2 linked regions of the Cricetulus griseus genome follow. The protein of the gene in region 2 purifies or fractionates together with the protein of the main gene of each other region. This does not show direct contact. Links are inferred from orthologs where the notes say so. Each region holds a gene or a part of one and is shown on either strand. Other genes may lie near its edges.

Evidence for each region.
Region 1: the proteins of Dyrk1a (region 2) and Ppp1r3f purify together in Homo sapiens (affinity purification with mass spectrometry; 3 studies listed by BioGRID and IntAct, with this or other methods). This does not show direct contact. The link is inferred for Cricetulus griseus from reciprocal best matches to the Homo sapiens genes DYRK1A and PPP1R3F.

What each region holds. Positions count from the first base shown.
Region 1 is NC_048604.1:114,040,154-114,044,503, forward strand, and holds the start of Ppp1r3f (protein phosphatase 1 regulatory subunit 3F), read right to left. Parts: upstream 2,848-4,350; 5' UTR 2,798-2,847; coding exon 1,797-2,797; intron 1,718-1,796; exon of another isoform or gene 1,357-1,717; coding exon of another isoform or gene 1,325-1,356; intron 1-1,324.
Region 2 is NC_048597.1:3,188,638-3,192,196, forward strand, and holds part of Dyrk1a (dual specificity tyrosine-phosphorylation-regulated kinase 1A), read right to left. Parts: intron 3,212-3,559; coding exon 2,925-3,211; intron 1,110-2,924; coding exon 963-1,109; intron 1-962. UniProt on the Homo sapiens protein: Dual-specificity kinase which possesses both serine/threonine and tyrosine kinase activities. Exhibits a substrate preference for proline at position P+1 and arginine at position P-3.

The sequences.
Region 1 (4,350 bases), on a different chromosome or scaffold from region 2:
TTCCCTGTTAACTAGGAATCCATATAGCACCTACAACAAACAGCGCATTCAGCTGGCCTTGAGAGGAGACTGCACCTACCACTCTTACCAGAGACCGGTAAATGCTGACCACCGTACCTTTCACAGCTACAGCTGTGCCTCAGTTACCTCGCCCACAGTTGCTGCATCCAATTCAACCACACAATGTTAATGCCATTCCTCTCCGACAAATGAGACACTGAGACAAGACCATACAACAAAGCTGAGTTCAGGAAGGGAATCCACAGATTGTATGTGAGTATCTAAATATTAATGCTAATTAGCACCACTATGGCACTACTTTAAACTAAGCTAAGCCCTGAGTGCTTTTACTCATCCTGTGCAGTACGTGCCATAATTACATATTTTACAGATGAGGGTACATTTAGTCACCTACGGCACAATGCAGTTAAGAATCGGCTAAGGTCACAACACTAGAAAGGGGCAGGCCTGGGATTTCAACCCAGGTAATCTTATGGCAGGATCCAAGTTCTTAACACTTCAAGGTCCATCAGCTAAGAGCTAAACCTTTCAGAACCATTCACAACCTAAGCCCTTACCAAAACCAGCCGATCCCACAACACCCTGCTGCATCATGCAGCTTCCAATGGCCAGATGAGCAACCTCCCATTCCCATTTCCATGTCCAGTCCTCACAGAAGGAACATGTATCCATTTCATGGAGAATCTAACTGACTCCGGGCGTCACCTCACCTAGACGACCACAGAAAGAATCAGGCTAGCTTTGTCCGTGAAAAACTTACAGCCCTGGTAAAGACCTGGAAAAGCATTATCTCAGTCTCCTGGGTTATAAATGGTTCTTTCTCCCAGCCCCTGAAGTTTATAGAAGGTGTGCAAAAAAAGACAAGAGCTTCGATTCCACTTCTTATCTGCTTCTGCCTCTGCCAAAGCTAATGCTTCCAAATGGCCTCAATCCCTCACCTCTACAGGCCTCAGACTACGGGAGAAACAGTAAAAAAGCTTGCACAGACTTCAAGGCCAGAAATGGTTGAAACCAAAAAAGCCAAGTACCACCACTTCCTCAACCAGTCTCTCCACCTCTGTAACTGACTTCCTGCTATGTCAGATAGGAATCAGATTCCACACCCCACACTGGGAGACCCTAAGTCCACAGCATCACACCGCATGCTCTCACCACTCCGCGAACCCGCTATCATTCGTACGAAACTCAGAACCACATCAGGACTTTTGAAACTTGCTGTTCCCACTACGTACATCTTCCTTCTATGTATGTCACTGCTCCATACCACTCAGGACTCCGTGCCGCCTCCTTAGGAAAGTCCTACCTGTTGCATTTTCTATCAATTCTCTCTTCCATAGCTCTTCTTTATCACCGTCTGGGACTCAGCAGAAGAGCTCACCCTCAACACCACGTCTACAGCAGCCACTCCCTCTCCAGAGCCTTAACTGTATTTTTTTTCCTCTCAGCACTAACCTTAGCCCTATTTATCTTATCTGCTTGTTTGCTTTTTTCATACTGTTTCCCACAGGAGCCTTGCGTGATGGTTGAGGGCAGGGAAGGTGTCTGTCTTGTTCAGGGCTTTACAGTGGAACTCAATTAATGGATGATACCCCAGTTTTTAAAACAGTGCCTAGCACATGTTTGGCCTCCACTACTCTTTGACCAAATGCACCCTCCTCCCTGGCCTGGAGACCAGGCCTGGGGTGGGGGCGGGGGGGGGGCTCCTGGAATGGGATGATTGTCCTCCATTCTACATTCAGCCCTGCCTTGTCGGAGGTGGCGCTGGCAGACATTACCTGCGCCTCACCGGCTTCATGCAGCTCTTCAGCTGCCTGGCCTCTGCCTCCACAGGACCCTGGCACTCAGGCTGTGGCTCCAGCTGCTGCAGCTGCTGCTGCTGGATCAGCCCTTCAGCATCAGTGGGTGTGGGAGCGGGTGCGATCCGGAGCAGGACAGTGTAGTTGCGGCCATGGTTGTTGGCCCAGAAAGTGCCCTCGGGGGTCTCATAGCGCACCACGAAGTCGAGGCGCGCCCCATCACCCGCGCCCTCAGCAAAGGGCAGCTGGAAGGCAAAACGGTCAGTGCGGCCACCGTCGTCGGGCGAGGAAGCAGACATCTGGCCGGGGCCCAGGCCTAGACCCGGATCCAGGAGGGGATCTCCTGCTCCTGTTCCTCCCACTCCTGCCCCAGGCAGGCTGCGTGGGACATAGCGCGCTGGGTGGTCGCAGAAGGAAGCCCAGCCGTCGTGTGAGGCCCGCACGTGCACCGCCTTCTCGAAGGAGCGGTTCAGCACGCGCACCAACCCGCGCACCACCGGCGGGCGCCCCCCAGGCACCCACACCCCGGAACCCCCGGGGACCGCTCCAGGAGGCGGCAGCAGCGCCTCCAGCTCCACCATCACGCGCCCCAACCGCTCCAGACGGCCCAACGCGGGCGGCAACGAAAATGTGGGCACCAAGTAAAAACCCCCGCCAGCGGGAACGGGGCACAGCGGCGAGGGATCGGGGAAAGCCTCCTCTTCCTCCTCCCCTTCATCCCCATCCTCGCCATCATCGTCCTCATCAGCCCCGCCGCCGCCGCCATCTTGCCCGGTCTCTGCCGCCATCTTGCCCGCCCCGGGCCCGCCCCACGGCCGGTAGCGGCGTAGCTGCGCCAGAGGCAGCCCCAGGGCCTCGTCAGCGAACAGCACCCTCCGCGGGGCCACCGCCGCCTCAACCGAGGCGCGGGGCTCTCCCGCAGCCGGCGATGGGGGTGCGGGGTGCCGCAGCGGTGGCTCCACAGGGGCCGTGCGCGCCATATCGGCGGCGGCGGCGGCGGCACCGACGGCACCGGCGGTGGCACCGGCGGGGGCTGGGCCTGAAAAGGCGGGCAGCCAATGGGAAGGCCAGAGCGGGGGGGTGGGACTCCAGTGGAGCGTAGGCGGTGAGATGAAGACAGGTACAGCCAACAGCCAATGGACAGCCACGCGGGAGTGACGTAGACAGTGATTGACAAGCAGGAGAAGCTTGCGGCCAATGAGGACACCCGAGCGTGGGCGGTGTGGGAGGCGGGATGATCACCGAATCAATGGAAAGGCCGGAGTGGGGTTAATGCGGGACCGAAGATGTAGCTAGCAGAAGTATGACAGTTAGTGGGGAAGTCTAAGCGCGAGCGGCATGGTGGGTGGCGGGAAGATGGAATGGCTATGGGCGAAGGGGGAAGCGGGGAGCGAACCCAAGAGGTCCAAAAAGTGGGAGATCCGCAGGTTGCGTAGGCGGTGAGACGTAAGAAAGATAAAAAGAACAGCCAATGGAGAACTGCTCGCGAATGATGTAGAGGCAGAATGACGATAATGTTTGCAACGAGCCAATGGGGAGCCTTGTGCGAGTGCACTATGGCTTCAAGGGGCGGTAACAGGGTGGATCTAGCCAATACAGAGACTGATGGGAGGCTGGAAGATACTGTGCGAGCATACACGGAGGCGGGACTGTAAGGGGGAAGAGCCCCTGGGCATCTGAGGAGTGAAGGTGGGAGCGAGAAAGAGATGGGGAGCCAGGATGAGATCTCAAAGGGCAGTGCCAGGATGGGATTAACCAATGCCTAAACTGGAGGGTGTAGCTGACGGAGACTTTAGAGGCAAGATAGGAAAGCAGAGCCAAGGGTAGTGGTGTAGGTGATGTGAAGGAAAGCATAAGTAGCCAATAAGTAGCTTAGAGTGGATGTAGGTGCATAGGCTGAGCCTGAACTATTGAGTGGTTGATCACAGAACCGGAATTCTGGCAGCCAATAAAAAGATTAGGCCTCTGGGAAATGGATTTACCTTCTCCCTTAACCTTCCATGACACCACGAACTTCCAGAGCCCCTAAAAGCCTAGACTGTACCATAGTGTAAGACCAAAGCTCTGCTATCAGTTACTGTGTGTCCTGTCCCCCCTACACACACACACACACACACACACACACACACACACACACACACACACCTCGCAGCCTTTTTGTGAACAATGAAACTAACCAAGAACACCCTTGATTGTACCTTAAAATGCCCAATTGAGTATCGGTGTTCTTCAGGACTTGGAAAAATCAATCACAAAATAGGAAACAGAACTGTTTGAAGGATTAGCTTTTTCTTAACTTGCACTCAGCACACAATTGACTCTGACAGTGTGCAATCAGTTGATTGAACATGTTGACAGACTCTGTCTAATCCTGCCCTTCTTGCTCATTTTGACACTTTGCACCCCACAGTGGCTTTCTCTCCCCACTTTATTTCCTCATCTCTGTTGAGCCCATCTCCCCTGCTCAGAGTGATTTCCCATCTGTTTCTTCCATCTAGTGAATTCCTCTCATTCTCCCTTTGAGCCCTCACCT
Region 2 (3,559 bases):
TGTAGAAAACAGGATAGAAACTGGGTGTGGCATGTGCTTTAGCCTGCATGTGAGAGGCAGGGTTTGGGGACCACCTCAGTACCAGAGTCCAGGGCCAATTCAGATAACATGTCAAGATCTCAACTCAACAAGAATACAAACACCAACAAAGTCATTTGGCCTTTTTAAAAAACTTCATTTATAAATAAAAATTTAGATCATGGCCGGGCGTTGGTGGCTCACGCCTTTAATCCCAGCACTCGGGAGGCAAAGGCAGGCGGATCTCTATGAGATTGAGGGCAGCCTGGTCTCCAGAGCTAGTTCCAGGACAGCTGCCAAAGCCACAGAGAAACCCTGTCTCGAAAACCCCAAAAAATTGGATTATGGTCCTAAATGATCAACTTTTCCGCAAAGAACAATCTACAAATAAGTAATTTAAAACAAACAAATACTCAGGTGCTCTTTGGGGCCATTCACTGTTTCTCACATCTACAATCTCTTAGGAACACAGAGAAGTCTGCAGACTTGCAGTCTCTGCAGCCCAAAATTCTGAATTCCTAGTTTATCTGAAACAATTCAGACTCATCTACCGACTGGATTGATGACTGCTCTTCAAGTACGGCATCCCAGTCTCAGGGTTCTAAGCAGTGCTCACACTAGAGTGGTCCTCATCTCCTCACCACACACTGAGGCTCTCTGTACTATCCTTAAACCTGCAACACATCTATCTATGAAATACATGTTCTGGTCTAATTTACTGTACTCCTTCATTAACATATTAACTATCATAATTACTAGTTCAGAATTCTAAGCCTACCATTATGGTAACTGACAAAGAGGAAAAATTAAAAGAGTGTATGTAAAATAAGACCAAGCTGACCTCAGACACAAGTGCTCAAGCTATTTAGTCGATACCATGTTATGAGAACAACTTTCAGATGGCACTGTCTCCATGGAAACAGAGCTGCACACCCCTCCCTTACCTCATTGGCCCCACTGAACAGAGGCTCTCCAGTATGCATTTCAACCAGGATACATCCAAGGGACCACATGTCGATAGCAAGGTCATAAGGCATTCCCAGTAGCACCTCTGGAGACCGATAAAAGCGACTCTGAATATATTGGTATATCTGAAACACATTTCAAAACAGTCATTAATTCCATGTCAATTTATTTATACTCAATATCAGTTGAAAAGCTCAACATTACACTACAAACACAGTTAAATAACTAAACGTTTCAAAGGAATACACACAAAAAGTTGGTTAAGAATTCAGACCTTCCATGTAGCGCCGTCCTACATCAGAAGTCAAGAGGAGGAATAGTAAACCAAGTTAATTGCCCCTTCTCTGGGGCTTGGCTCAGTGGTACAGAGCAGTTGTACAGCATGGGTGAGGACTTGGATTTGATCCCTGGCAAATTCTGAGATGGCAAATACTCCAGTACCAAACGTTTTGGACATGAGGTATTCAAATTGTACTGTTTCCAAGTGTTGCCAGGTCAAGGAAGTCACCCACCTGACTACTTTGGTTAATCAGGTTTTTGTACCCAAGTCACTGAGCACCCTAGCTCAGGCACACACTTGCCCTCTAGCCACCTTCTGACATATATGGGCAGGACCACACACAGAGATCTTAGAAGTATTTCCCACATAACATCACTACACTTTAGCACTTAAATGTGCAATGGCCTAATGGGGTAAGCTACTTCAGTTTGTGCAGACAAAGAGAACACTGCTTGATATTAGGACCCAGAGTAGGCCTGGATTTAAATTGAGGGGAAATTACTAAGTGAAAAGTCTACTGAAATACCTCTCACAGTAGATGTGTGTCTCCATCCACAATGTGTTTTACTCCTATAACCAGGGCAACACTAGGCTTTGCAACAGCATTTAAGGCTGCACATTTTTCTTCACAATCCAATCAAAAACTTATTTCCACAATTATTTAGCTGTGTTATTATAAGATAACGCACAGAATGACAAAAGGTAAGCCTGCTAACAAAACTGACTCTATACCTTCACTATAAATAAGCTGCTCTACTTAAAACCTGGATACAAGTTGGACAAGATAGAAATTTCACAAGCTTAGAAAACAAAGAATGGGGATGCCAATATAAAAATAGTAACATTTGGATGTTAGATTGAAAATAGTTGCAAAACCTTTATGCAAATAGCCTTACCTCTTTTGAGAAGAAACCCTGTAACTTCTGTTTACATGCAAACCACAGCCTTGGCACAGATGTCACAATGCTGCAAACCACAGCAGCAAACATCTGCTTTTCTGAACCAGCTCATTGTATTTCCCAAGGCAGGGCTGCTCTGTGTAGCCATGGCTGTCCTCACACTCTCTCTAACTCCCTAATTCACTCTCTCTCCCCCCCTCCCCTCCCCTCAGGTGAAGAAAATCTGAGGTTCTGAGGAGCTGAATCTACACTGCTTCTAACTTAGTGGGGGAAGAAAGAGTTAAAACTATTTATCAAAACAAGCATGTCCACCACTTGCTGTTTCCACACAGTACCGTGATTACCAAAAGCACCTCTTGATATGCACTCCTCAGTTTGTAAGAAACATTATCTTGATGACGTAGGAGAAGTAATTTTTAGTTAAGAACCTAGTTCAAGCTAGAATTGTCCAAATTTTATACTAAAAGTCTATTTAGAAGCTATAAATCACCTAATATTTAACTCTTTTATCTCTTTAACTCTTAAAATGTTTAGCATTAAACAGAATTTTAAATAAAAACTTAAAAATCATTATCTTCCAATTCAAGTACTGCAATATGGATTTCAAAAAGACACCTGCGGGAAGTGAAGCACATGCTACAAGCTCAAGATAATAATAAAAAAATTCCTCTAATTGTCTCCAATCTATAGCTACATTGGTTAAAACATGTTTTAAACAGCTAATTCTACTGTTAACTCACAAGTCCTAAAATAATACCTACCCTCTGCCCCAACTGACAAGAACTCCCGAAGTCAACGATCTTGATGGCACTCCGTTTGGGGTTGCAGAGGAGAATGTTCTCAGGCTTGAGGTCACAGTGAATGATACTAAGCTCTGGAGTCGCAAGGAAAAGCAGTGCTGTGCACATCTGCTGTGCAAACTTTCGCGTGAGATTCAAAGAGACCCCTCGGAAGTTGGTGTTCCTCAGCAAATCATAGAGATTATAGGACAGCATTTCAAAGACTAAACAAAGATGGTTTCGAAACATAAAGTGTCGTTTCAAATGCACTGAAAGAGAAAAGAAATCTCACTTAAGTCACATGCAATGGTGAGATGAGCGTTAGCATCTATTCGTGCTCTCCAACACTTCATTGCCTTGTGCAGAATGGCATGCAAGTCAGTGTGGACGCCAGCCCCAGCAGCAGAGCCACTTGTCAAGACTGCCTACCACTCTTCTATGTCAGAGAACTGTGGTGTCTACTGGTCTGTGACAATATCTCATCAGACAGACTTCTCCACTGCCTTTGGTCAATGTATCAACCTTTGTTGCACGGTAATTTCCAACAACAACTGGCTGGCAATTTTCTGGCAGCTGCCTAAGTAGAGAAATCTGTTTTTGTGTGTTAGGTAAACACA